3 linked regions of the Stegostoma tigrinum genome follow. The protein of the gene in region 3 interacts with the protein of the main gene of each other region in a pairwise test. Links are inferred from orthologs where the notes say so. Each region holds a gene or a part of one and is shown on either strand. Other genes may lie near its edges. The genes, in order: ca8, dnaaf4 and spdl1.

Evidence for each region.
Region 1: the proteins of spdl1 (region 3) and ca8 interact in binary tests that used the Homo sapiens proteins (3 or more experiments, as listed by UniProt). The two-hybrid records come from large-scale screens. The link is inferred for Stegostoma tigrinum from reciprocal best matches to the Homo sapiens genes SPDL1 and CA8.
Region 2: the proteins of spdl1 (region 3) and dnaaf4 interact in binary tests that used the Homo sapiens proteins (3 or more experiments, as listed by UniProt). The two-hybrid records come from large-scale screens. The link is inferred for Stegostoma tigrinum from reciprocal best matches to the Homo sapiens genes SPDL1 and DNAAF4.

The regions. Positions count from the first base shown.
Region 1 is NC_081358.1:35,205,189-35,214,981, reverse strand, and holds the start of ca8 (carbonic anhydrase-related protein), read right to left. Parts: upstream 3,882-9,793; 5' UTR 3,679-3,881; intron 3,011-3,678; 5' UTR 2,874-3,010; intron 2,799-2,873; exon of another isoform or gene 2,777-2,798; intron 2,516-2,776; 5' UTR 2,452-2,515; coding exon 2,376-2,451; intron 1,781-2,375; coding exon 1,589-1,780; intron 1-1,588. UniProt on the Homo sapiens protein: Does not have a carbonic anhydrase catalytic activity.
Region 2 is NC_081386.1:15,450,956-15,461,260, forward strand, and holds the start of dnaaf4 (dynein assembly factor 4, axonemal), read right to left. Parts: upstream 4,788-10,305; 5' UTR 4,753-4,787; coding exon 4,630-4,752; intron 3,906-4,629; coding exon 3,758-3,905; intron 3,592-3,757; coding exon 3,458-3,591; intron 1-3,457.
Region 3 is NC_081364.1:15,282,105-15,292,652, reverse strand, and holds the start of spdl1 (protein Spindly), read right to left. Parts: upstream 4,278-10,548; 5' UTR 4,165-4,277; intron 1-4,164. UniProt on the Homo sapiens protein: Required for the localization of dynein and dynactin to the mitotic kintochore.

The sequences.
Region 1 (9,793 bases), on a different chromosome or scaffold from region 3:
GATTGAATTTTCACAGCCCCTGAACGATGTGAGCAATGGTAAGTCATTTGGGCAAATACAAAAAGTTCTGCAAACGATAATTTTCAACATCATGGAAAGAAGTCTAATTTTCCACACGTTTGAATCTCACTAGTGAGCAGCGGGAGACCCATTTGCCTAAATATATATCTCAATAGTACCTAATCTCACCTCATTTATGTACAATTTCCTATTCTCCAAAGACACAGAACTAGATGGGGACATGAGGCATCTTGGATCGGCCATGATCCCACTGAATAGGGGAGTGGGATCAAGGGGCCAAATAACCTATTTCTGTTCTTCATGGTGTAAGTGTACTGGTCTCTGATCTGTGCTCCAAGTGAATGAGGTGCCTGCCTTGCAGCTAGTTTGTAAAACTACCACAATTAATTCTGAAGTGTTTATATTGAAGACATAACAAAGTCAATGAACAGGACTTTCGTAAGCATCTGAACCATTATTGTCTTTATGAGAAATGTCTTCACCTAGACAGCAGTGAACCAGTGGAACTCTCTGCCACAGAAACGAGCTGAACCCAAAACATTGAAATGTTTTCATGGGCGACAAATTAGAAATAGTTCTTAAGGCTAGAGGAATCAAATGGTGTGAGGGAAAAGCAGGGACAGGGAATGGAGTTAGATGATCAGTCATGATTTCTTGAATGATGGAGTGGGTTTGAAGAGCCAACTGACCGACTCCTGCTCCTACTTCAACATCCAAAGATCATAGACTTATTTTTAATTTCCACTCAGGAGCTTACAATTTATCAAGCATGTTTTTCTGTGTTGTGGAGTTCAATATATACTTACAAGCCACAAAATGCTCAATACAAGCCTGAATCTTGAAAGAGTTCATGACCATTTCACAATCAAAATCACTTCTGAAAGTTAATATTCGTTTGATAATAGGAAATTTTCTATATTGTGTTTAGTCGGTGTCATCTTCCAGTGGGACAGCATTGGGTAAAATTTAAACCAATGACGATCAATTCTGGTGTGAAAACTGGATGCAGATATAAATCCAATCACTCTCTTTGGAAAAACATACTAAATTAAACATACTGTTTCATCCAAGTGAGTGAAATGCCACTGAATGGGATTAAAAAAAAAGAACGTCCTCTAAACACAAAATACTGAAAGAACTGCTGATGCTGTAAATCAGAAACAAAAAGAGAAATCATTGGAAAAGCTCAGCAGATTTGTGGAGAGAAATCAGAGGAAGGGTCACCGGACCTGAAATTAATTCAGATTTCTCTCCTCAGATGCTGCCAGACCTGTTAAGCTTTTCCAGCAACTTCTGTTTTTGTTTCTGATTTAAGCATCAGTGGTTCTTTCAGTTTTTAATACAGTCCTGTTTATGCTGTGTTTTACACAACATTAATTTGCTGAGGAATCTGCTGAATGATAGCACAACAAAACAGAATAGATTAAACCCATCAACATAGGCAGCTTTCCTTTCACACCTTATGGGAAGAAGATCAAAATGATGCATTGAAGGAGACACACAAAGTCAAAAATAAACATTTCACAATCTGTTGCACAACCCAAACTTGGTTCATATTTTTACATACCTGATTTGGACTTCAGCAGTATCTGAATAGTGTGACCATCATTAATTACTTCAGAATCTCGACAAACAACATAATTTGGTGATAAACGTACTTCCAATAGTGAAGGGTCATACTTTGCCTCCCTGGAGTTCAGGTTTATCGGGGACTGATACTCTCCATTTGCTTCAGGAAACAACAGGCCCCATTCCACTCCTGAAACAGAGCAAATCACATTGATCAAGTGACCAACATATATATACCTGAATTCATACTTTTAAAAGGATTTTAAAAATGGCAAAACTAAAGCTAGATTCAAACGCCAAATAGAAGTTTTTCCTAAACTAAAGTTGAAAGTTAATTTTAACACTGAGAATATGAGTTTGACAGCTTACAAGTTAGCATATTATCAAATATCAGTTAAGCATCTCTGTTTTGGACTGGGGTGACTTAAAATGGTCTGAATAAGCCAAACTTTGCAAAATAAGTTCGCAAATTGGCTGACTGCCAAAAGAGAATTACTTCTAGGTATCAAGGCATATCTGTTTGTGTTAGATCCCTCACCATGGAAACAAACAAAGTTTTAAAATGCAAAGTTTAATTTTATATGCAAAAAAAACAAAGTTGCTGGAAAAGTTCATCAGGTCTGGCAGCATCTGTGAAAGAGAAAACAGAGTTAACGTTTCGGGTCCGGTGACCCTTCCTCAGAACGGCTATATGGCTTCTTTAATGAAGGAAATGCGTGCCAATGGTGGCAAAAATATCGCGTTTCCATTTGCACACTTTAAAACAAAGTTGTTCAGGATCTCACCTTCCTCATATCCCCATTCCAGACCCTCCTTATAGCCGTAAGGCCGGGTTTCCTCAATGAAGGGGCTGTCGGCCATTGAAAAGGCAGCTACTCGAATGAACAATCCCAGCTGCACTATGCAGGCTGCTCCGAGCTGTACCCTGGCCAAAACATGATGGTTATATAAACTACCGAGCAATCTAGCCTTTAAAACACAATTACACAAATCACTAATTCATTGGAAACAGCAATCTGACCAGTTGCCAAACAAATAGTGCCGCTCATTATCTGTCACCTTGGAAAAGCAGAAATGTCACGCTCCCAGTTTCTATCCTAACAATACGTGAAGCTAAATACACTGATACAAGTCCACAAATGGCTTCTGTACTGTGTAACTTAACATACAGTGTAAGTTTACATACTAAAACCACGGCTCCCCGACACCAGTGAGAAAGGGCGAGCTGTCATTTACTCCCCAGGTTTCAGTGAAAGCAGGAGGATCTGTCCAATCACACTAACCTGTCCAGCGGATTACCTCTTCCAATTTACAGAGTGGGGTCAATTTAGGGCTCTTCCAGCGAAGTGGCAATGTCCCTACCTCTGAACCTGGAGCAAAAACAGACGTTGCTGGAAAAGCTCAGCAGGTCTGGCAGCACCTGTGAAGAGAAATCAGAGGTAACGTTTCGGGTCCGTTTGTCCCCCCACCCAAGCCAGCAGGTCCCACCCGTGTCCTAATATCTCTGCCTAGGGTTTTATTAAGTTTATTCTTGGATAGTCTTTTGGACGATGTTAGCGTTTCGGGGACAGTGTCACTGAACAGATTAACAGGGCAGTTGGAAACGATAAAAAAAACCTGAATTCTGGTCGTTGATCAAACTGACCTATTTAACACGGCAGATTCAGACTGCAGGAGTAACTTTATCGCCCCATTTGCAAGGGAATATCTCTAATGAATTTTGCGAATGAATATCTCTAATGAATTGTGCGATGAATTTTGTAAAATAAAATGTAACTAGAAACTTGTATCATTCTCCCTAAAGTATAAATCCCAGTTATTTTTAAAACCCAGAATGATATTTATTAAGGGAGAAATGTCACTGAATAATCATCCTTTATGGCTTTACATCTCAATTACAAATGAAAAACCATACAGATTAAAACCTCTTCTCTGGTATTTTCTGAAAACTTCTCCCCCGTTACAAAGCGTTAGCTGAGGCCCACAGCAGGAAGTCTGAACAGCAACACTATTACACCGGAGACTACACCTCCCAATGCTTTTCAAAGTTTCTTGTTTTTAAAACCAAAATATTTGCAACGCACTTACCGGGACCTTCCCATTAACTGTCAAACAATACTCAGTAAAACTGTAAATCTGTCCTGAATGGTAATCCTGCCCCTGCTGTTACTCTCTGAATCTTGCGGTGAATTTACAAAGCATCTTCACCTCTCAAACTCGCGGCACCAAACAAGCTCATGTCTTTCTGATTTTGACTAAACTACATGATCCACGTCAGTGGGTGGTTCCACTCTAGAATCGCTGCTTCCAACAACTGAAGTCGAAAGAGCTCACACACAGTGCACATGTGCCACAACAATATGCAATGTATTGAATTTGTCTTGTTTACCCACACAGTATAGAATATAAATGCAATGTGAATTATTTAACTCAACTTGGCTCTTCTGGTCCTAGCGCAAAACATGCCCCAAGTTCATTGATTTCCGTATTTCTGGGGAAACTGAGGTATCATGAGGTGAGGGATGTGGAATCTGGTTGAGGTCCTGGAAGGTGCCATACATATAATACTTGCATCTGCACATTTAAACATCGAGTGCTTCATCACGCTCCCTGTCTCCGCCACACACACACACACACGCGCGCATATAACCTTCTGTGCAATTGCTCATGTTAATCAGAATTTTTATGGAACCCCGACAGTGCAGAAGTAGGCTATTCAGCCCATCGAGACTGCATTAACCCTCGCGTCCAGACACGTTCCCTGCAAGCCCCAATCCTGCATTTTTCATGGCGACTCCATTTAGCCTGCACAATTTAGCATGGCCAATTCACCTAAGTGGGAGAGGAAACCGGAGCACCTGGAGGGAACCCGCACAGACGCGAGAAGAATGTGCTAACTCCACATAAATAGTCACCCAAAGCTGAGAACTGAACCTGGGTCCCTGGCGTTGTGAATCAGCAGTGCTATCCACTGAGTCACTGTGCTGCACCAAGATTGATGACTTTAACAGAAGGAATCACAGTACTGTTATGATACTGAAGGCCACTGAAGACTTCATGTCTGTCTCCAAATGAATATCATAAACGTAAGCTATTCTCCTTGACCTTTCCCCTTAATACTGCATGTCATTTTCATTTAAATAATCATCTAATACTCTTTTGAATGCCTTTGTTGAACTTTTCTCTAACATACTTCTATATAGCATGGAAGGAGACTCTTCAGCCCATCATGTCCATGACAGTCACAAAGCACCTATCAGCTCTCATCCCTTTATCTCGCACTTGGCCCGTTACCTTTTCTGCAAAGGTGCTCCAAGTGATCATCTAAAAGCTTCTTAAATGTTGTGATGATTCCTGTCTCTACCTCAACCTGTACTATGTTTTGTTTCTGATTTCCAGCACCCACAGCTCTTTATTTTTGTCTACAGTTTTAACCATTGGCTTTGATTCTATTATTCATTCTATTAATCTGTAAAAACCGAAATGAGTTGCCTTTATCTGACTGTGCTCTTTCAGCTCTGTGCCTTTTTTCTTGTCATTTGAAAGCTGAGAATGCACAAAAAGATGGCATGTTAAGAATACCATGTAGAGATAGAAGATAAAGGGTCAAGAGTGATAGGTGCTTTGTGACTGTCATGGATCTGATGGGCCAAAGAGCCTCTTTTTATGCTATAAAATACCCAATAACTCTACGTTGTCCCACTACCTGGAAGTGTGTTGAAGAGAGGTTCTATCAAGCTTTCAAAAAAGTACGAGATGATTATTTATACTGGCCTGGAGAATGGTACAAAGTGGCACTTAACAGCAATCTGCTAGATTAACATGAGCTTCCGATACATTAAGGAGTGCCCCTGGGTTTAGCAAAATTGCTTGGGATAAACAGAAGTTTGATAATTCTGCAGTGATTCTCCTGGAGTTGTTTTACACCATGACTCCTTTAGTTTTAGATTACTGTGACAGGGTAACTGGGGATTCTCCTGAGACTGGATGGCTGACCTGACATTTGGCAGTTTATGGTGGAATGTGAGATGTAGCTGCCCTGATAGATTTCTGGGCAGGATTTTTCAAGGATTGAGACATTGACATCAAAGTTAAAAGAGGGTCCTGATCAGGACAATGATCTTGCAGTGATTTGCCATGTTTTGCCCAGAGAAGCTAATGTGAAGCTGGAGGGCCAACAGGGAAAGATCTTCAGTCTTGCATCTCAGATAAGAGAGAGAAAGAGTGGCTCCATACATGTTGTGGTACTCTCTCAGCAACTTTCATAACTTCTAAAATAAAATTATCACAGTTGCCTGGTCACCATAGTGAAGGGAGAACCCTGTCAGAGGGCAGTCTGTGACCACAGCACCGAGAGCAAAACCGTTGGAAGTAGGCCTCAAAAAAGACATGGAGCATTGACGTCGTTTGTTGCTGGAATTCTATCCCCAAGCAATGAGCTGTCTTCAAGCTACTGGTTACTCCCTCCCACCTTCATGCTGGTCCCCATGTGACAGTGAAAGTTCAGCCCTGGAGTCTGTTAGCAGTGTGCAGAAAGGCTGCAGGCAACAAAGCAATAGGTATTTTAATATTTTTACTTTTTATTGCGATAAGTAAGTTAATATTGAATGTGGTGTGTCGTAATTGGATCTGCAGGTGAACCTGTCTTTTCACACATCCTTAACATTCTAGCTGTCAACAAAACATGAGGGATAATTGTAGTGATTGTAATGGGATCAACCAGTTGGACATCATAGAATAGGAGTTCCCTGATTTGGGCTGTTAATCTTGCCCAATCAGGGAGCCCTGACTGAAGGATATAAACAGGAGTGACAGAGGTTCTGCTCATTTCTGAGATCTGGCTCTGAGGGAGCTGGATCAGTGTCAAGGACTTTCCAAGTGACAGGATACTGGCCTCTGTGGGGTTATTTCAGTGACGACAAAAGAGAAGCACCTTCCTGAAGAAATTCATCCACAACAGTCATCTTTGAGTTGGGGTAAGCATTTCTGGCATCATGCTGTTATTTGGAAAGATTGGCTTGTTCGATCCTGCCATTAAAGACTAGGCCCAATATGTGGAAATAGTGCATTGTTTGTTCCAGGCAAACGACATTGGGGCAAATGAAATGCCACAGGGAATTTTCCCAATAGCTTGTGGACCAGCAGCTCTTTTAGTGATTAGGAGCCTGAGTTTCCCTCAGGCATCAAATATTAAAATCGTTCAAGAGTTGACAGAATTAGTTAAGGAATATTACTGCCCCAAACCTCCACTAATTCTGTGTTGCTATTGGTTTTACTCTGCAGTTTGAGAGTCAGGGGAATCTGTACTGGGATTTCTTACTAGGTTAGGATGCCTTGCAGAAGTATGTGACTTTGGTTTAGCCCTTAAGATGCTGAGAAACTGTTCATTTGGTATGTGACATTAATGATGAAACATACAAAAGAGCCTAGTAGCTGAAGCTGAACTGGACTTCAAACAGGCGCCATAACTGGCTTTATCATTGGAAAATGCAACAAGTGGAGCAATGAGTTGCAGGGTATTCCAATGGAAGTGGACACCCCCACCAGGCTGACTGAGCTCAGGGAACACCACTTGGCTGAAGGCAATTGCATAGCCTCACTCAGGGAAGAATAAAAGAATAAATTGATTAGGGATAGTCAGCACGGTTTTGTGAAGGGAAGGTCATGCCTCACAAACCTTATTGAGTTCTTTGAGAAGGTGACCAAACAGGTAGATGAGAGTAAACAGGTTGATGTGGAGTATATGGATTTCAGCAAGGCGTTCAATAAGGTTCCCCACAGTAGGCTATTGTACAAAATGCGGAGGAATGGAATTGTGGGAGATATAGCAGTTTGGAACAGAAATTGGCTTGCTGAAAGAAGACAGAGGGTGGTAGTTGATGGGAAATGTTCATCCTGGAGACTAGTTACTATTGGTGTACCGCAAGGGTCAGTGTTGGGTCCACTGCTGTTTGTCATTTTTGTAAATGACCTGGATGAGCGCGTAGAAGGATGGGTTAGTGAATTTGCAGACGACACTAAGGTCGGTGGAGTTGTGGATAGTGACGAAGGATGCTGTAGGTTGCAGAGAGACATAGATAAGCTGCAGAGCTGGGCTGAGAGGTGGCAAATGGAGTTTGATGCAGACAAGTGTGAGGTGATGCACTTTGGTAGGAGTAACCAGAAGGCAAAGTACAGGGCTAATGGTAAGATTCTTAGTAGTGTAGATGAGCAGAGAGATCTCGGTGTCCATGTACACAGATCCTTGAAAGTTGCCACCCAGGTTGACAGGGCTGTTAAGAAGGCATACAGTGTTTTAGCTTTTATTAATAGAGGGATCGAGTTCCGAAACCAAGAGGTTATGGTGAAGCTGTACAAAACTCTGGTGCAGCCGCACTTGGAGTATTGTGTACAGTTCTGGTCACCGCATTATAAGCTGGATGTGGAAGCTTTGGAAAGGGTGCAGAGGAGATTTACTAGGATGTTGCCTCTAATGGAGGGAAGGTCTTATGAGGAAAGGCTGAGGGACTTGAGGCCGTTTTCATTAGACAGAAGAAGGTTGAGAGGTGACTTAATTGAGACATATAAAATAATCAGAGGGTTAGTTAGGGTGGATAGGGAGAGCCATTTTCCTAGGATGGTGACGGCGAGCACGAGGGGGCATAGCTTTAAATTGAGGGGTGAAAGCTATAGGACAGATGTCAGAGGTAGTTTCTTTACTCAGAGAGTAGTAAGGGAATGGAACGCTTTGCCTGCAACGGTAGTAGATTCGCCAACTTTAGGTACATTTAAGTCGTCATTGGATAAGCATATGGACGTACATGGAATAGTTTAGGTTAGATGGGCTTGAGATTGGTATGACAGGTCGGCACAACATCGAGGGCCAAAGGGCCTGTACTGTGCTGTAATGTTCTATGTTCTATATTCTAGGGCATATTCTGAACAGAGGGACCCTCAGTCAGCCCACAGCAAAACCCCAAACCAAAGCCAAGCCTTGGCCAAACGGGTAAAATTTTCTTCAGGATTTGGGCTGGCAACCCATTGTAACTGCTGCTGGTGTATGGACTCAAGCCAGCAAAAGAGTGCCACCAGGCCTGAAATGAGTAAGAGAACTCATGGGCTGGTAACCAGGAGAGAACACACCCTGGAAAGACCACCTACATCTGCTTTGAATCAGTTAAATTGCTTAGCAGCATCCAAATTACAGCCAATGAAAATAAACATCATCCAGTTCTAATGGAGATCGATACTGGCATGGCTGTATCAGTGATTGCAGAGCCAGTTTTTAACAAAAGCCACTCCGAGGACCAGTTGCAGATTAAGGGCACAACCTCCGTTCTGGTCTCTTATCAGAAGCAGCTGGTTCAGGTATCACTGATTACAGTAAAAGGCTTGGGCCCAAGCTTGATGGGGAAAAATTATTTGAGGCAGAATCACTTAAGTTGGCTCAACGCTTTTCGATTAGAAAATAGCTGCTTGAGTGAAGTCCTAATTAAATACTCAGCATCTTTCTGGATGGTCTAGGGACTATCAAACAGCCAAAGTCACCTTGTTGACCAGGAAGCAATCCCAGAGTTCTACTAGGTCCACCTCGTGTCATTTGCCTTACAGGCAAAAGAAGAAGCAGAAATCAGGAAGCTGGAAAGTGAAGGAATCAGCAAACCTGTCCAGTTTGTGGAATGGACAGCACCAGTCATACTGATTGTGGAGCCTGATGCTCTCGTTCACCATTGTGGGGAGTTTAAACAAACAGCAAAGCCATTTTCACAGCTGGAGAAATACCTGATCCTTCACACAAGATTTGTACAAAAAGTTGGCAGGGCAGGCTGTCCTTCCCGAAGCTGAACATGAGCCACACATACTTGCAATTGCGGATTAGATGAGGATTCCCAGAAATGTGCTACAATTAACACCCATAAGGCTTTGTATCAATATACAACACTGCCATTTGGGGTATCATCAGCCTGTGCAATTTTTCAGCGGATGATGGAGAACGGTCTACCTCAGGTCACCATTTATCTACATGACATACCAAAAATAGCGGAGATGAAGAAGGAGCAATTAGAACTTGGATGAAATCCTTTGTTGGTTCTCCCAAGTGTGTGTACATCTTAGCATGGAAAAATGCGTTCCAGAATCCAAAGTGACCTACTTGGGCTACAGAGTTGACAAGACTGCGTTACACCTGTTGGAAGATAAAATCAGGTCAATCAAAGGTGCCCTG
Region 2 (10,305 bases), on a different chromosome or scaffold from region 3:
CCACCCCAACCTTCAGTTCACCTGGGCCATCTCCAGCACATCCCTCACCTTCCTGGACCTCTCAGTCTCCATCTCAGGCAACCAGCTTGTACCTGATGTCCATTTCAAGCCCACCGACTCCCACAGCTGCCTAGAATACACCTCCTCCCACCCACCCTCCTGCAAAAATTCCATCCCCTATTCCCAATTCCTCCGCCTCCGCCGCATCTGCTCCCACGATAAGACATTCCACTCCCGCACATCCCAGATGTCCAAGTTCTTCAAGGACCGCAACTTTCCCCCCACAGTGATCGAGAACGCCCTTGACCACGTCTCCCGTATTTCCCGCAACACATCCCTCACACCCCGCCCCCGCCACAACCGCCCTAAGAGGATCCCCCTCGTTCTCACACACCACCCTACCAACCTCCGGATACAACGCATCATCCTCCGACACTTCCGCCATTTACAATCCGACCCCACCACCCAAGACATTTTTCCATCCCCTCCCCTGTCTGCTTTCCGGAGAGACCACTCTCTCCGTGACTCCCTTGTTCGCTCCACACTGCCCTCCAACCCCACCACACCCGGCACCTTCCCCTGCAACCGCAGGAAATGCTACACTTGCCCCCACACCTCCTCCCTCACCCCTATCCCAGGCCCCAAGATGACATTCCACATTAAGCAGAGGTTCACCTGCACATCTGCCAATGTGGTATACTGCATCCACTGTACCCGGTGCAGCTTCCTCTACATTGGGGAAACCAAGCGGAGGCTTGGGGACCGCTTTGCAGAACACCTCCGCTCAGTTTGCAACAAACAACTGCACCTCCCAGTCACAAACCATTTCCACTCCCCCTCCCATTCTCTTGATGACATGTCCATCATGGGCCTCCTGCAGTGCCACAATGATGCCACCCGAAGGTTGCAGGAACAGCAACTCATATTCCGCTTGGGAACCCTGCAGCCATATGGTATCAATGTAGACTTCACCAGTTTCAAAATCTCCCCTTCCCCTACCGCATCCCAAAACCAGCCCAGTTTGTCCCCTCCCCCCACTGCACCACACAACCAGCTCAGCTCTTCCCCCCCACCCACTGCATCCCAAAACCAGTCCAACCTGTCTCTGCCTCCCTAACCTGTTCTTCCTCTCACCCATCCCTTCCTCCCACCCCAAGCCGCACCCCCATCTACCTACTAACCTCATCCCACCTCCTTGACCTGTCCATCTACCCTGGACTGACCTAACCCCTCCCTACCTCCCCACCTATACTCTCCTCTCCACCTATCTTCTTTTCTCTCCATCTTCGGTCCGCCTCCCCCTCTCTCCCTATTTATTCCAGTTCCCTCTCCCCATCCCCCTCTCTGATGAAGGGTCTAGGCCCGAAACGTCAGCTTTTGTGCTCCTGAGATGCTGCTTGGCCTGCTGTGTTCATCCAGCCTCACATTTTGTTATCTTGGAATTCTCCAGCATCTGCAGTTCCCATTATCTTTAAATGTAAATCTGATGCTTTTGACAACCTAGGGCCAATCACATTGTAAGAAATATTGATATCTCATCAAGGGTATAAAAGAAGGGGGAAATTGGGCAAAATCTCAGTGTTAACTGCCATCTACCAGAGCTGGCAGCACTCAGCTCTCAAGAGACAATTGTTGGCTCTCACAACCTCTTCTATGTCTTAGAGAAAGCATCATCTAGATAACGAAGTTACCTATTGCACAATGTCCTGACAGAAGAATCAATGGAAAAGGCACTCTTGACAGAAGAATTGACAGAGAAGGCTCAGAACATTCCAGAAGACATACCACCTGGTTGAAAGTTTGAGAGACTGATTTTTTTTTATATAACTGGGTCCTATAATTATTGGAACAGCATATCTTTAGAATCTTGCTTTATTCGGGAATAGTTGGTGGTTAGAGGTTTATTCAGTTTGTTAATAGTTTAGTTAATTTGTTGATTGTTAGAACTTAGAGAAGTAAATTGTTACTTGTTGACGGTAAAGTGAAAGTCTGGGATTTATTTTAATTAACCTGTAGAAGCTGCTGAAGGGCAGGTTACATGACTTTTCACACTGCTTTTACAGATTATAGAGTCAGGTGCTCCTCTTTCGGTGTTTTGGCTTTAGTTTTTAGAGGGTTTTACTTCGAAACAATGTATCTATTATTTTGTTAACCCTTTCCAAAGAGATACAAATAAACTAATACTTTTCTTTTGTGTTAATTTTGTTTGTGTCTGAATTATAGTGTAAAAACAAAAAGGTTGTTTTGCTTAAAGTTGAGTAGTTTGACCAATCAAATTGCATCTAGAATGCAACACATTATACTTACATTTAAAATAAGAAAAAAATTAGGTCTAGACTATCTTGATATATTTTCAGGGGGATTGGTTTGGTCCACAATACAAATTTATGAAAATTTCATTCCAGTTTAATCTACGAACTTTGAATCAGAATGCACCTCAACGAACCTTAAAGAATGTTTTAAGTTTTTCCAAAATTTTTAGTGATATATGTTGCAATGCTGGTGGGAAAATTAGAAATGAAAATTACATTGCCTCTTTATGGATTGCTAGCATAGAAAATGTCGATCTACCATCTAACAAGCATAGTTCAGATATAAAGTGAATGACTATAACTTTAGACAGTGGATGTAATCAGCAGAATGTGTAGGAGTGGCATGTGTTCTGTGAAAGAGAGAAGAAATGTTAATGTGTACAATTAGGTTCGGTAGAAGACAGAAGGTAGTGACTGCAGAGTAAATTTTGAGGAATTCCCTCTCCACAATGCAATTAGACTACTGGCCCAACCATAATAAGACCCTTCTTACAATTGACCCAGTTTTCATCATTGCTGGGTTTATAAATGTAAGATGTAACAATTAAAGTGTGAAAAATGGAGGCAAACTATCGACATAATCCAAACCATTCACCAGCATGTAATTTGCTCTCAGTTTGTATTCATGGGTAGTGTGTGTGGAGTGATACAGTATTTAACATTTGAAACAAAGTGACACAAAAGGCCGAGAGCCATTAATACAACAACCTTTTTGTATAACACTGAGAGAGACCTAATAAGGATAAAAGTGTATATGCAAATAATCTTACATTCTTTTAATTAAGAGATCGTATTACTTGAATGATTATCTCACATGACCACCACTCTATTTGATTACATTAGTCACATCTTTCACTTAAAGTTTTAAGTTTATAATTTGTAGCATTGTCAAAAAGGAAGAGAGTATGACAGAAAGTGTGGTAATTTGCATATGGGTGATAAAATCTTGTTTTGATGAAATCGCTATGTTTCTACACTTCAATGACACTGGCCACCTTGAACTGTGCACTTGAATATTTACTACTTCTCTAGCTTTATTGTGCAAATGGTTTGAATTCATACTTTTATACCAAATTATTCTGTTCATTTTAAGTAGGCAACACTGTTACTAAATTAACTATTTTAATAGTTTCTACAATAGTTACCTTCATCATCTTTTCCAATGAGTACTTTTCATTTTCTCGCTTTTTAACTGCCTTTTCTTTTGCTGCTTCTTGCGCCTTTTCCTGAGCAGCAAGTATTGCTTTCTCCCTCCTTTTCTGCAACTTTTCCTTACTAACTATCAAAGAAAAGTCAGTGTGATTATATGACACAAAGCCAAAACTAGTTATGCCTAACTTCAAGATTTAACATAACTATCAGCAGCAGCTCTGCTGGTGCAATTCACATCAATTTTAATCTTGTAGGATTCAACATAAAGCAAAATCTCGAAAATCATTCCTCACCTTCGGTCGTTGCAAGTTGCTCCCATATTCCCAATTCTTTCTTGCACAAGGTAAAGATAACAACATCATTGCCAACTTTAACAGAGCTTTTTGATTCATCAATGGAAGCAAATAACATTACCTCAAACAGAAATGGAGGAAAGTTCACCTGTTAAAGTAAGCAATTTAGAATCAAAATCTGGAGGCAAATGCAGGTTCACAATTCTAAAACTAGAAAAAATGTATAAATAAAAAAATTAAATATAGCTCAATAAATTAGCAATCTTTTTAGATGATTTGTGGATAAGGACAATTTTAAGTGTTTCCCCAGCACCACATTCAAGAGGTTAAAGGTCAGTCTGTGGAAATGAGTAGCTGCCAATGAGGCTATTAGGAACAAAAACCAAAGTTGCTGGAAAAGCTCAGCAGGTCTGGCAGCATCTGTGAAGAAAAAATTTCAGAGTTAACACTTCGGGTCCGGTGACCCTTCCTCAGAACTGCAGGAGCTGACAATGGGCTGTGTGGTAGCAGCCCATTCTTTGGGCTCTATCTCCGCCTATAGTTTACTCTTTCCCCCCTCCCCATCTTCTGCATAAATGTCAACCTTTCCTAACTACCACCAGTTCTGAAGAAGGGTCACTCGACCCGGGACGTTAACTCTGATTTCTTTTCACAGATTCCCTCCGCAATTGCCAGCAAATTATGTTACGAAAACAGTTTAATCATTTCACTTTTGAGGCTCGGAGACACTTTGGCAAGTGACTGGCCACAACTATATATGTTTTTCCCCCTGTAGGGCTTCTATGATCTATGAGACCAGAGGCAGCTCCTGTCCGCCCACGCCCACACCAACTTTCCAAACACGGGGCACAGCGCCCGTGTGAATCCCTCACCTTTAAATAATCCTCGATACAGAAAATGTCCGCTTTCCCAGCCCTCACTCCCTTCAGCGGCACCGTGATAAAAACCTGGCTCTCCACCTGGTCCCAAGTATAATCCCTAACCTGCAGCGGCATCTTTACCAACAGCCGCCCGTTGCTAAGCGACGCGCGTCCCGCTCCCTGGTCCTTCCGGCTGAATCGGGCTTTCGCTTCCGAAGCAATGAGTGACGGTTTCCATGGATACCCACCTCCCATTGAATCTCTGATTCTAGATTCTTCTTACAGTGCAAGACTTTTAAGGAGATATTTTATGGAGACGGTGCCACGAAGATGAATTCGATATGGTGCTGATGAAAATTAATTCAAATTAATATTCAGTTATGTAGCTAAATCAAACACAGCGTATACTGGAGATTTGAAACAAAAAAAACATAAAGTGCTGGAGAAACTCAACAGGTTTTTCCTTCTAGGTTTAATGCTAACACTATTGAAGTTAATCCCGCTGTGGGATCATGTTCAAATAACAACCGAAATCGGTGAGTGGCGAAAATAGCTTCTTTAATTAGCATCCACAGTAGCACAGTTTGAGGTAGTGATGGAAACCCAAGTTATAATAACCTCTTTACACACAATTCATACATAAATTAAAATTCTAGCACTATGGTGTTACATAATTATATCTATTGTACGCAGAAGTTTGCATGAAATCTGTCCTGGGGAAGCAGGTAAACATTTACTAAATGCTGGCTGTTACTCCTGATAGGATTACAGTGTCTGTCCAGTCTGTTTGAATAATTAAGAGGGCGAAAATCCACTGTATACCAGAGGTCATAAAACTTTTAGTTATTTCAGGGCAGTGACTTGAAAGAAATTCTGGGATTTGCATATTAATCTTTGCTGAATGATTAAAGATTTGACAGCCATTTTAGTTCAATACACTCGAATCAGTCCTACGACCCTTTGATCTTTTGCTTATAAATTCTGTGGCTGATGCCACCTCTCCCACTGACACCTAAAGAAGGACCAAGACTCCAAAAATAATAATGGGAACTGCAGATGCTGGACAATCTGAAATAACAAAGTGTGGAGCTGGTTGAACACAGCAGGCCTAGCAGCATCTTAGGAGCACAAAAGCTGACGTTTCTTGCCTAGACCCTTCATCGGAAAAGAGGGAGGGGAGAGGGTTCTGAAATAAATAGGGAGAGAGGGGGAGGTGGATGGAAGATGGAAAGAGGCAGCAGAAAAACTGCTCAATGTCCTAATGTGACTGGTATTCATTGATGTGTGGCTGTCTCCTTTGGCAAGAGAGTTGCAGTGGGAGAGAAATCCCCTGAGGTTTGTCCAGAGGGAAGAGGGTAACTTCTACAAGTTAGACATCCCTGGAAGAGGTAACTGAACAAGTTACCCTCCTCCCTCTGGACAAACCTCAGGGGATCTCTCTCCCACTGCAACTCTCTTGTCCATCTTCGATCTGCCTCCCCCTCTCCCCCTCCCCCTTTTCCAATGAAGGGTTTAGGCCCGAAACATCAGCTTTTGTGCTCCTAAGATGCTGCTTGGCCTGCTGTGTTCATCCAGCTCCACACTTTGTTATTGCAAGACTCCAAAAGCTAGTTTTCAAATAAACCTGTTGGACTATAACCTGAAGTTATGTAAATTTTGACCTTGTCCACTCCAGTCCAACACTAGCACCTCCACATCATAATTAAGAGGTGTTAGTCCTTTTATCTTTTAAGGTAGTAAATGTTAGTAAAAAATACTAGACATAAACAAACAAAATAAGTTAGAAATTCTACATGTACTTAATAAAAGTGTAGAGGAGAATAAACTGAGTACAGCAGCTGGGCCATGAGATTTTATTTTCTATTAGTGGGTTTGAAAGTTCTTACACATTCATTCATGCAGTTTCACAGAAGCGCTGTTTTGATGGTAACTTTCTTAAAGGGGATAGTGGCCCTGATTACTGTGTATTTAACAGATACATTCTAGTGGAGAAAACTTTTGATGTTCTGTAACCTATTCAAGTCCCCAGAGATGGCTGCTAAAGGGCTGATTAATATTATAATCTCTCCATAGTTTTGTGTGAGTCATGGAGACATGATGGCGGGAATGGCATTATTTTGAATAGGTTACAACATTAACGCTTAATCAGGCATAGCCTTTGGTATAGAAACAGATCTAATCACTGCTTGTAGCATGGGGCTGATAAGGATTAAAGATGTAAAGAAGCAGTAATGGTTTGGAAGGGATGTTCTAATTTAGTCCAGCTGGTAATAGTAAGATGTAGTATAAAACCACAGTTTTATGAATGAATGAATGAATGAAAAGAGGTAGAGTAAACAATAGTGCGCTGTTGAGTAGTTTGTAAAAAAGTTATGAATGAATGAGAACACGATATTAGTAAATATAGAGCATTTGTGAGTGCGTTGGTAAAGAGACCTATAATGCAATATCTCACACCCTCCTGCCAAACAAACTGTTCAATGGAACGGTCAGGCTGTAATAACATTCGAAAAGCACAAGGAAAATGTTTTATGATTTTTTTGGGCATAGATGTGATCACTCTACTAAAAGCAAAATACTGCAGATACAGGAGATCTCCTTCTGCCAGAGGAGAATCATGTTAAACTCAAATAGTTAACTCTGTTTCTCTCTGTGTGTAAATGCTGCCAGATCTCTCTTCTCCAACACTTTCTTAGACTGGTTAACAAGGTTAGATCACATGTGTGACATTTTTTTTGAAGAGAAGTTGTAAAGGCAGCAGTGCCAAAGTGGCTACAGGAAATGGCCCAAGTTAACAATCAGAGGAGGCCTTTATAACAATGGAAGGGGAGTGGCCAGTTCGCCCAGGTCAGGTTTTCTAGATTTTTAGCGGTAGCAGTCAGAAGCTGTTTGGGTCCCAGAAGGGTTGGAGCTTCAGTAAAATGATTCCTAGTTGTTACATTCTCTGAAATGACTTGCTGTTGTTTCCACCTGGATTGGAGAGTTGCCCATAAGAATCTGTGTCTGAATTTTTGCCAAGGGGTGTGCTTATTGCATGTTACTGTATTGGAACAGTTAATTAATAATAGATATTGAATCTTATTCAATTAAGTTTTCCAGTAGTTAAGTTATTCTAAATTCCTTTTTCTTTTTTTTTAAATGTAGTATATAAATAAGTTGTGTTTTGCTTACCATTTGAGTGGTTTGACCATTTGCATCACATCTAGAACAAGCATTTGACATCTACCCTTAAAATAAGAAAAAGTTCAGGTGTAAGCTACCTTCTTAAAATGCCTTGAGGGGGCCTGGTCTGGTCTGGTCCATAACACATGAATACACAGAGACCCAGCCGTTTGGTTGCAGAACTGGCTCGAATGTTGAAGGCAGAGGTTGGTGCTGGAGGGTTTTTTTTCAGCCTGGAGACCTGTAACCAGCAGTTTGTCACAAGGATCGTTTGCTGCCTTTTGTCATTTATATCAATGCTTTGGATGTGAACATAGGATGTATAGTTTGTAAGTTTGCAGATGACACCTAAATTGGAGGTGTAGTGGACAGCAAAGAAGGTCATGTGAGTACAACGGGATCTTGATCAGATCGGCCAATGGGCCAAGGAGTGGCAGATGGAGTTTAATTTAGATAAATGTGTGGTGCTGCATTTTGGAAAGGCAAATCAGGGCAGGACTTATGCAATTAATGGTAAGGTCCTGGGAAATGTGGCTGAACAAAGAGACCTTGGAGTGCAGGTTCAAAGTTCCTTGAAAGTGGAGTCGCAGGTAGATAAAATAGCGAAGAAGACGTTTAGCATGCTTGCCTTTATTGGTCAGTGCATTGAGTATAGGAGTTGGGAGGTCATGTTGCAGCTGTACCAGACATTGGTTAGACCACTTTTGGAATACTGCTTGCAATTCTGCTTTCTCTGCTTTAGAAAGAATGTTGTGAACCATGAAAGGGTTAAGAAGAGATTTACGAGGATGTTGCCAGGGTTGAAGCGTTTGATCTACAGGGCATTTGTGAATAGGTTGGGGCAATTTTCCTGGAGCATCAGAAGCTGAGGGGTGACTTCATAGAGTTTTATAAAATCATGAGGAGCATGGATAGGATGAATAGTGAAGGCCTTTTCCCCGAAGTGGGGAAAAGTTCACAACTAGAGGACATAGGTCTAAGGTGAGAGGAGAAGAGAGGAGCAAGGTTCAAAAGAGACCTAAGAGGCGACTTTATAAGCAGAGGGTGGTACAATGTATAGAACAAGCTGCTAGAGGAAGTGATGGAGGCTGGTGCAATTACAACATTTAAAAGGCAGTTGGATGGGTACATGAATAGGAAGGGTTTGGAGCGACACGTGCCAAATGCTAGCAAGTGGGACCAGATTTGTATAGGATATCTGGTCAGCATGGACAGGTTAGACCAAAGGATCTTTTTCCTTGTTGTACAAGTCCATGACTCTATGACTCTAATCATTCTGTCAACCTGAGACTTTTAACAAATCTCAAATACATTTCATAAACATCAAAATAACCTGTTCTATTCTGGGTCATGCTCTGTCAGATTGAGTGATAACATAAAGATGTTGCAGCTTCACGTCAAGTTGGGATTGAGAGAAGCTGCAAGGTTGACCAGGTTGTGATAAGTAGAATTATCAGAGTTTTATCTTTATTTTTGTGACAGCAACAAGATGGTTAGGCCTCTGGTTTTATACCTGACAATTCATTACGCGTGTTAACTCTGCTTACCCAGTATCAGATTTGAACCACAAGTCTTATTGCTTGGTATTCTTAAAGCGCCATGGTTGAGCCTATGGGAAGAACTGAAAGTCGAAATTATTATTTGTTTGTCAGTCACTATATGGGACCGTCAGGGATTCGCTGGCCTATCAAGATAGGCGGGTGGACAGAAATTAGCTACCCATACATCCTTCATCTGAGACACTTCATTGGGATTGAGGTTGACTTGCTTCTGATACCTTCAGTGCACAATCTGCAGACCCTTTCACATGTGCCCAGGTGATATTTGCAGGAGTGGGTAAATGGATGGTTTGGATATTCATGCAGTGTCTACAAGGCTTTGCATCTGCATGTCTCCATTTTGCTCTGTCACTAGCCTGGGTCTCCCAATATTCAGAAGGTCTCCTCACAGATGTTTGAAACCATCCTTAAAGCTCTCCTCTTAGAATTTCTTGCTATGACAGCAGTGAGTTTGCAGGGAAACAGTTGCTTTTGAGTGGGCCCTCTGAGATAAATCCACGCTGTGTCACTCCATCATGCAGGGACAATGATCCACTCAGCACACCCTCATGTCCAAATAACTGCTCTGGTATCCAAGGAGAAAGTGGTTAGGGTTCAAGACACAGCAACAACCTGATTAAAAATTGATGAAAAGCATCTCTCAATTTTTAAAATACTTTTTAGAAAATACTGTCTTTTGGGGCTAGGAGTTTTGAAAGAGGAGCTTCTGAATGGGGGGTTATGTGGAGGTTTGGAAAGAGGGGTGTGTGTATGTGTGTGTGAAAGTATGGGGGAGAGGAGAGGGCTAATTACACAGCATATTGAGAGGCGGGGTGACAGAGAGCTCTTCACTGAGTCTTCTGTCACTAGGGAATATGAAGAATTGAACTAAATCTGCACAAGTACATGAAATAATAACATTCTTATGAAGTACTTGATAAATGCAGATTTCCACATGTATATGCTGAACTATGTTAATGACCTTAAC
Region 3 (10,548 bases):
TTTGGTGAAGTACCTTGTCAAATATCCTTTGGAAGTCCACTGAGATAGCAAGAACTGCAGATGCTGGAGTCAGAAATAACAATGTGTGGAGCTGATAAACACAGCAGACTAGGCAGCACCAGAGGAACAGGAAAACTGATGTTTTGGGTCAGGATCCTTCTTCAGATTCCCCTCCTTCTATTTTGAAGAAGTTTCAACCATTCTAATAAAATTGTCAGATATGATTCTCTTTCATGAAGCAATGCTGACTCTGTTTTGATTAGACTATAATTTTCCAAATGTCCTGCTATTACTTTTTCAAAATTGTTTCCTATACTTTCCCAACAGATATTAGGCTAATCAGCATATAGGACATAGAAAAGTACAGAAACAGATCCTTTGGCCCACCATATCTTTGCTGACCATAATGCCATTCTAAACAAATCCCATCTGCCTGCAGTCAGATTAGCAGTCATCCAATCATCTGATACTTCTCCATGACCCAAGAGCTTTTGGAAAATTACAACAATGCATCCACTATCTCTGTAGCTACCTCTTATGGGATCCTAGGATGGAAGCTGTCAGGGCTAGGGGACATAACTGCCTTAAGCCCCATTATTTTGTCTAACACAACTTCTATCCCGTATTTTTTAATTTTGCTCCACCATAAAAGACTGATGTAAAATATCTGCTAAACTCCTCTGTCATTTCCTTGTTTTGATGCACTCTGAATTTGTTGTAGCTATCATTTTCAAATTTATTAATCCAATCAACGTGAAGATTAAAAAGAGATTTTTTTTTAACATGCTCCTACTATTTGTTGATTACAGCCTTTCCCACAGACATCTTATCGTTTGGAGGAGTGGACTGCAGACCCCAATGTCTTTTTTCCCTTACTACTTTTTAACCTTTGCCCAAATAAACTTGACATCATCCAAACCCACAACATTTCTCAACTGTCCTCATTCCATTTCTTATCAATATCTTTCCATTCTCCTATCCCTCTGAAAGAAGTAATATCCCTGATTGAGAACTTCCCAGTTTGGATCTCCTTGGAACTATGTTTGCCGAATGGCTATGATAACGTATTCATTTACCTTCATTTGCACCTCCAAATCGTGCCTTATTCCAAAGGCTTTGCGCATTAAGATATGGGGAGGCAATGGCCTAGTGGTAATATTGCTGGGCCATTAATCCAGAAACTCCGGAAAATGTTCTGGAGGCCTGGGTTCAAATCCTGCCATGGCAGATAGTAGAATGTGAATCTAATAAACATCTGGAATTAAGAGGTTAATGACTCACTAACATCTTTTACTTCAGTGGTGGGCAAATTATTGGAAAGTGCTCTGAGACATGGGGTTTATGATCACTTGGATAAGCACAATTTGATTTGTGAGGAGTAGATCATGTCTCACAAATCTTATTGAATTCTTCAAAAGAGGCGACCAAACACATGAATGAAGGTAGAGCAGTGGATATGGTACACATGGATTTAAGTAAGGCATTTGATAAGATTCCCCATGGTAGGCTCATGCAGAAAGTAAGGAGGCATGGGATACAGGGAAACGTGGCAGATTGTCTTCTATGGCTCAGCCAATTCTGAATCCAAAGGATAGTAGTGGATGGAAAATATTCAACATTGTACTCAGTTACAAGTGGTGTACCACAAGAATCTGTTCTAGGTCCTCTTCTATATGTGATTTTTGTAAATGATTTGGATGTAGGAGTGAAAGGGTGGATTGGTATGTTCACTGACGATACAAAGGTGGGTCGAGTTGTGGATAGTGCAGAGGGCTGTTCTAGGTTACAAAGGGATATTGATAGGATGCAGAGCTCTGGGCTGTGAAGTGGCAGATGGAGTTTAACCCTGAAAAGTGTGAGGTGATTCACTTTGGAAGGACAAACTTGAAAGCAGAATGCAGGGTTAACGGAAAGATTCTTCGCAGTGTGGAGGAGCAGAGGGTTCTTAGGGTTCATGTCCACAGTTTCCTGAAAGCTGACACCCAGGTGAATAGAGTTGTTAAGAAGGCATATGGTGTGTTAGCTTTCATTAATAGAGGGATTGAGTTCAAGAGCCGTGAAGTTATGCTCCAGCTATACAAAAGCCTGTTCGGTCATATCTGGAGTACTGTGTCCAGTTCTGGTTGCCTCATTACAGGAAAGATGTGGAAGCATTGGAAAAGGTGCACAGGAGACTTACCAGGATGTTGCCTGAAACGGACATGAACTAGGGCTTTTCTCTTTAGAAAAACGAAGGAGAGGTGTCTTGATAGAGGCGTACAAAATGATCAGAGGTATAGATAGAGTGGGCAGCCAGCAGAGGTAGATATAGGGGAGATGTCCAGGATAGGTTCTTTACTCAGTGTGGTAGGGGCTTGGAATGCATTGCCAGAGATGCTAGTTGAGTCAGTCTCATTACAGCATTTAAATGGCTATTAGATAGACATATGGATGCTAGTATAAAGGTAGTGGTGGAGGTTAGATAGACCTCAGCTTTAGGGTAAAAGGTCAGCACAACATCATGGACCAAAGGGCCTGTACTGTTCTATGACGCCCATGAATCCATTGTTGATTGTTGGAAAAACCCATCTGGTTCACTAACGTCTTTGCGGGAAGGAAACTGCTTTCCTTACCCGGTCTGGGCTACATGTGATTCCAGACCCACAGCAATGCAGTTGGCTCTTAACTGCCCTCTGGGCAACTTGGGATGGGCAATAAATGCTGTTTAGCCAGTGATACCCTCATCCCATGAATGAATGAATAAAGAAAATAAAAAGCAGTACATTTGTTCCATTATTGAACTTCCTTACAACTTTAATGATTTCTCAGTACAGTATCACATTTTCACATCCAAGCCCTTTTATTTTTTGGTGACAAATCGACCCCACCACTAAACTATGTCACACTTGTTGTTTGGGATGGGTCAGTGGTGGTGGTCGTCTCAGGATGTAAGCAGGTTTGTCCTCCAAGGTAAGGAGAAACGGAAGCATCTCTCTCCCCTAGTGCAACTCTCTCGTAATCTCTCCCCTCTACAGGCTCCATCCCGCCCCTTTAACTTGCCTGTCTCTTCTCCACCTTCGATTCACCTCCCCCTCACTCCCTATTTTAGAGCCCTCTCCCCAACCCCCTTTTCTGATGAAGGGTCTGGGCCCAAAATGTCAGCTTTCCTGCTCCTAAGATGCTGCTTGGCCTGTGTTCATCCAGCTCCACACTTTGTTATCTCGGAAGCAACTGTTGCCAATATTAATAGCAAAACAAAAGTGTCCTCACACCGGCTGGTGATAGGAATCCGAAGTCTTTAAAAGAAAAAAATTGCCTTTTCGAAAAGGCCAATTTTAACAGGTTTGATCAATTTAGCTGAACACATCGAATTTCCAAATGCGGAGTAGAGGACACCGAATGAGCAAATCGTGCAATTCTAAAAAAGATACGCTGACACGACACGTGATATCGAACACGCAGGGCAGCAAATAAGATTACATGTTATTGGTGACCTGATGGATATTTGTCTGCTAAGTCTGTAGCAATCTTGATGAGACAGTTTATGCACTTAATTTTCTCCTGTCTCAGTTCATCCCATAATCCGCAACGCAGTTTAATCTGATACCACTTCAACTGCAATTTAATGGTAGCTTTCCGGTGACCTGCGAGTCTCCTTCTGTCAGCCTCCATTCCTCGCTAATGCAAATTGACAAGTTATTGTTTCCCCATCACAAAAACAAAATTGTCACTGGCTGGGAGACATTAATCGCAAGAACTATATACCTGCAATTATATACCTGCAATTAGTTTCTTTCCAAAGAAGATTTTTTTCCCCTCCCAAAGTATAAATATAATAAAGAACAAGATGAAAATGAGCGTACAACGGATGCCTTGTATGCACTGATTACAGGCAAAGGCTTAAACGGTTGGAGGGGTGTGGGAAAGAGGGATTTGCTGACCCGGTTATTCGGAGCTGATAGCGATGCGCGCGGAGACAGGCCGTGAATCCCAATCGGCTGTGGGTTCCCCTGGCAACCCGCCCCGTGGCGGTAAAAAGGCCCTGTCCGTGGGCTGAAAGCGACAGAAGCGGCATCAAGCGACCGTATGAGCTGCTCTTTGGCTGTTCAAAGTTGACCGAAGAACGTCGGACAAATTGACCACTTCCTCCTTCCTCCCCCCGCAAAAAAAATAAAAGATTTTTACCCTTCTCCAAAGGTGTTAGTTTCTCGATGCAATTTAAAGCCCGCCGCTCCTCTCCTTCTAACCTTCGCATACACGCCGGCTCCGCATCCACTCCGTCTCCAACGTCCCGCCCCTCAGTGCAGTTTGAACTCGGCACGCGCCCACACAGCCAGCCAATCGCTGCGCACCAGCTCCCAACCGCCGCCGTCACCAACACCCAGCAGTAGCTATAGTCAGTCGCCGGCAATGGTACCCTGCTGGAGGCGAGTAAATACGTACATGTGAAGTTCGTTGATTGATTTATGCCCCGAATCGTATTGCCGCAGCCCATAAAGTTCTTCGGAAGTATAATAACCCTGAAGTAAAGGAGGAGCCAATTAGCGCGCAGCAAGCTCCCACAAACAACAAACCAAATTATCCGTTGAGATGCTGCTTGGCCTGCTGTGTTCATCCAGCCTCACATTTTATTATCTTGGAATTCTCCAGCATCTGCAGTTCCCATTATCTCTTATCCGTTGCATGTTGATTGAAGGATAAATACCAAGGCTTCAGAAAACACCCGTCCTGGTTTTCAACAGTGCTACACAATCTTTCACGTTTTTCTTAGAGGGCACCTGGAGTCATGGCAGACAGAACTTACAGTAGTGTTACATTCGCTATAGTTACAGACTCCCGTTATAATTTTAACACGATCTACTTGCTTTTCTGCTCCACACACCTGTTACTAAATGCTGAGTTGCTGAATGTTTTATTAACTATTCAAAACCTTCCACCGTTTGCTGTATACTTCAGGTCCAACAGCTCTGCAACTCTTTAGAATTCTATATTTTCCTTTATTCATTCATGGGTTATGGGCACTGCTGGTGAGGCAGCATTTATTGCACTTTCTCTCCCTGAATGACATTAGTGATCCAGATGGGTTTTTCCAACAATCAACAATGTATTTACAATCATTGTTAGACTCTTAATTCCAAATTTTTTAAATTGAATTCAATTTCCACCGTTTGTCGTGCCAGGATTTGAACCCGGGTCTTCAAAATACTATTTGAGTCTCCAGATTAACAGTTCAGTTGTAATACCACTGGTATGGTGTAGTGTCGCCACTCTGGTGCCATCTTAAAACACAGAAAAATAAACCAAAGCATACAATATAAAGGTAGAAAAATCAAGAAAAAGTGCTCAAAATGTACAGTCCTTCTTGTTAAGTGCTTTGTCGTGGGCACCGGGATTAGTGGCCAGGCACTAGTTGCCTTCGCTGCACTGATGCTGCTAGAATGAAATTCGCCACTTGTCAGCACCATCTTGCCTCCACTGAAGCACTCACCAATATGAGTCTTCAATGGATCTTGTGAATGCAGATGCCACCGGACACCACACTGACCCAAACTCAACTCTGCCAGCATCATGAGTCTACTTCCGGCCAACCTCGCCATTGCAGCAGCTGCTGATGTCATCAGGTGTCATAATGGATCCAATCTTGTTTCCTCTGCTATCTCCACAAATCTGGGCCTGATGCATTCACTGCTCAGAACCCAAACTCACCTCCTTCACAGCAACCATGAGTCGGCTCAAGGAATGCCTCAACAATGTTGAAGCCACTGGGAACCCGAACTCGCCACTGATGCTGCTGCCATGAGTCCACGCTGCTGCGTCTACGCGGCCCACTCACTGCTGTTGACATTGTCACCATGGCTGAGCTCTTCAACAAGAAGTGTATAAAAAAAGGGAAAGAAATGAGAGGAGAGGAAAATATGAAAAGCAGGTGAGTCCTGGGCTCAGAAACCCTACTCCACTGCCATCTTACTGGAAGATGTGTGTCAGTGGTAAGCCTGCCATCAAGCAAGGCAGCTAAGAACATAAAGGTAGAAAGAAGGAGGTAATGGATTGAAAAAGGAACACAAAGCTTTCATTCCTGTTACAAACCAATTGCCTTCACAATTGATATATTTCTGTTATAACAGGATTCCAGTGCACATATTTAATTCCCTGAATAAATGCCATAAAGCTCAATGAGAAATCAGTAAGGCATTTGATAAGGTTCCCCATGGTAGGCTCATTCAGAAGGTCAGGAGGAATGGGATACAGGGGAACTTAGCTGCTTGGATACAGAATTGGCTGGCCAACAGAAGACAGCGAGTGGTAGTAGAAGGAAAATATTCTGCCTGGAAGTCAGTGGTGAGTGGAGTTCCACAGGGCTCTGTCCTTGGGCCTCTACTGTTTGTAATTTTTATTAATGACTTGGACGAGGGAATTGAAGGATGGGTTAGCAAGTTTGCAGACGACACAAAGGTCGGAGGTGTCGTTGACAGTGTAGAGGGCTGTTGTAGGCTGCAGCGGGACATTGACAGGATGCAGAGATGGGCTGAGAGGTGGCAGATGGAGTTCAACCTGGATAAATGCGAGGTGATGCATTTTGGAAGGTCGAATTTGAAAGCTGAGTACAGGATTAAGGATAGGATTCTTGGCAGCGTGGAGAAACAGAGGGATCTTGGTGTGCAGATACATAGATCCCTTAAAATGGCCACCCAAGTGGACAAGGTTGTTAAGAAAGCATATGGTGTTTTGGCTTTCATTAACAGGGGGATTGAGTTTAAGAGTCGTGAGATCTTGTTGCAGCTCTATAAAACTTTGGTTAGACCGCACTTGGAATACTGCGTCCAGTTCTGGGCGCCCTATTATAGGAAAGATGTGGATGCTTTGGAGAGGGTTCAGAGGAGGTTTACCAGGATGCTGCCTGGACTGGAGGGTTTATCTTATGAAGAGAGGTTGACTGAGCTCGGTCTCTTTTCATTGGAGAAAAGGAGGAGGAGAGGGGACCTAATTGAGGTATACAAGATAATGAGAGGCATAGATAGAGTTGATAGCCAGAGACTATTTCCCAGGGCAGAAATGGCTAGCACGAGGGGTCATAGTTTTAAGCTGGTTGGTGGAAAGTATAGAGGGGATGTCAGAGGCAGGTTCTTTACGCAGAGAGTTGTGAGAGCATGGAATGCGTTGCCAGCAGCAGTTGTGGAAGCAAGGTCATTGGGGTCATTTAAGAGACTGCTGGACATGTATATGGTCACAGAAATTTGAGGGTGCATACATGAGGATCAATGGTCGGCACAACATTGTGGGCTGAAGGGCCTGTTCTGTGCTGTACTGTTCTATGTTCTATGTTCTAAATCATTAGCACAAATGTGTAAGTTTACCAAAGGAATTAGGAACACCCTAACTTTAATGCTGACTCAACCTATTTTAGCCAGGAGTGGGAATAGGGTGTTGATATTGTTCTCAGCACCACTGAATAAAGCCAAATGAACTAGACTTCTTTTTCATGATTGATGTTCAATAATCCCTACGTTTCTCAGGTGGGAGGATCAGGCTTAGTTCTAGTGTCTACATTACCTTTAGTAGAAGAGTATGCTGGACTCAAAATGTTAACTTCGTTTCACTCTGCACAGATACAGCCAAATTTCTTGAGTTTCTCCAGCACCCTCTGTTTGTTTCTTATATTACTCTTTGGCTTGCACTTTAAAAAATGATTAAGATACTTGAGTACATGCTGTTTGCAGAAGTATCAATCACAGCAGAATAATCAGCTGAAAAGACTTATTTACATTTATGCCATTCAGGATTTCAAAGGTTTGTTTTAGGTCTGTTTTATGTCTGTTTTTAGTCTTTCCATTTAAAAGATATAAATTTAGCTCTGAATTTCTGGTCAGTTGGGGCCTTTAATCCCAGAATGACTGTCTTTCTTCTATAAACTGTTTAAAGACATCAATAGGCATTTGATGATAGGCAGTCAAACATCACAGTAAATAAACCGGTAATATGGCCTCATCAATGACATACATGATGCCATTGCCAGGCATCCCAAATAGATCTAAATTAAACTCATCTGGCATATAAGCTCATAATAGAGCATCAGAAGATCAGGGTATAAATCAAGAAAATGGAAGGATTTGCTTTTAAATGAAACAGATATGCATAAAACAACTCTAAAACAACTATAATGTTGTTACCCTCCTCCCTCTGGACCAACCTCAGGGAATCTCTCCATCTTCGGTCCGCCTCCCCCTCTCTCCCTATTTATTCCAGTTCCCTCTCCCCATCCACCTCTCTGATGAAAGGTCTAGGCCCGAAACGTCAGCTTTTGTGCTCCTGAGATGCTGCTTGGCTTGCTGTGTTCATCCAGGTCCACACTTTGTTATCTCTGAAACAACTATGACAGATTAAAGCGAGTGATCTGTCATACTTCCTCGGTCATATTGCCTGGTCCACCTGTGTTCATCAATGGTGTCATGATGGTATTCAGATGGTCACATCATTCATGGGATGTGGGTTTCCAAGGTTAAGCCAGTGTTTATTGCCTATCCTCAACAGCCTGTGAGAAGGTGGTGGTGAGCTGTTTTCTTAAACAGCTGTAGTCCAGGGGGTGCAGTTACACCCATGTACACAGCCCTTCAAAGAAGGGAGTTCCTGGATTTTGACTGAGTAACAAAGAAGGAACATTAATATAGTTCCGAGAAGGATCTATGACTTGGAACGGAGCTTCAAGGCGGAGTTGTTTCCATGCATCTGCTGTCATTGTCCTTCCAGATGAAAGATGTTGCAGGCTTGGATGGTATTGTCAAAACAGGCTTGGTGAGTTGTTGCAGTGCAAGTTTTAGGTCATACGCACTGATACCACTGTGTGTTGATGGTGAAGGTTTGAATTTTGTAGGTAGTTAGTAGGGTGCCAATGTCACAGTGCTGCATTGATCTAGATGGTGTTAAGCTCCTTGAGTGTTATTGGAGCAACATCTACTTTAGTGAGTGGAGAGCATTTCTTCATAATCCTGACTTGTACTTTGTAGATGCAGCCTGGCTTTGGCGAGACAGGAGGTGAATAACTCACTTGAGAATTCCTAGCCTTTGACCTATTCTCGTATTAATGGTTTTTCTGTGGCTAGTTCAGTTCAGTTTTTGATCGATGTTAATGCCCAAGATGTTGATAGTGGGGCATTGCCTTTGAAAGTCAATGGGAGATGGTTAGATTCTCTCTTGTTGGAGATTATCATTGCCCAGCAATTATGAAGGGTGAATATTACCTCCTAGGTTAACACAATGAAGGAGGAAGTGTCGGGTGTATTGAAATACATTAAAGTATACAAATCCTCAGGGCCAAATTGCATCTATCCCAGGCTACTGTGGGAGGAAAGGGAGGAAATATCTGGGGCCTTAACAAATACCTTTGCATCTTCTTTGGTCTCAGACGAGGTTCCAGAGGACTGAAGAACAGCCAATTTTATTCCTTTGTTTAAGAAGGGAAACAAAAATAATCTGGGTAATTACAGGCTAGAGATCTGATGTTAGCGGTGGGGAACCTTTTGGAGAATACATTGAAAGACAGCATTTATTCACATTTGGAAGCAAATGGACCTGTTAGTGATTGATAGCATGTGTTTGTGCAGGGAAGATCATGTCTCACCAACTTCATTGTGTTTTTTGAGGTGACAAGGTAAGGGCAGTGGATATTATCTGCATGGACTTTAGAAAGGTATTTAATAAGGTACCTCATGGCACACTGGTACAAAAGTTAGGAGTCTCATGGATCCGGGATGAGGTGGCTAGACGGATACAAAACTGGCTTGGTCATAGACGACAGGGAGTGGTGGTGTAAAGGTGATTTTCAGAATGGAGATCAGTAACTAGTGATATTCCACAGGGATCGGTGCTGGGACCTTTGTTGATTGTAATGTACAAAAACGATCTAGACGAAAATGTAGCTGGTCTGATTAGTAAGTTTGCGGATGATACCAAAATTGGTGGAGTTGCAGATAGTGAGGAGGCTTGTCAAAGGATGCAGCAGGATGTAGATAGATTGCAGATTTGAATAGAGAAATGGCAGAGTGTAATCTGGTCAAATGTGAGGTAATGCATTTGGAAGATCAAATTGAGGTGCGAATTATACAATAAATGACAGAACCCTTCGGAGCATTCACATACAGAAGTATCTGTATCCGTCCACAGATCCCTGAAAATGGCAACACAGGTGGATAAAAACTGAAAGAACTACGGATGCTGTAAATCATGAACAAAAACAGAAGTTGCTGGAAAAGCTCAGCAGGTCTGGCAGCATCTGTGAAAAAAAATCGGAGTTAACATTTCAGGTCCGGTGACCCTTCCTCAGAACTCAGAACCATTCTGAGGGAGGGTCACCGGACCTGAAAGCTAACTCCGATTGTTTTTCTTCACAGATGCTGCCAAACCTGCGGAGATTTTCCAGCCATAATGGGAACTGCAGATGCTGGAGAATCCAAGATAACAAAGTGTGGAGCTGGATGAACACAGCAGGCCAAGCAGCATCTCAGGAGCACAAAAGCTGATGTTTCGGGCCTAGACCCTTCATCAGAGAGCGGTCTAGGCCCGAAACATCAGCTT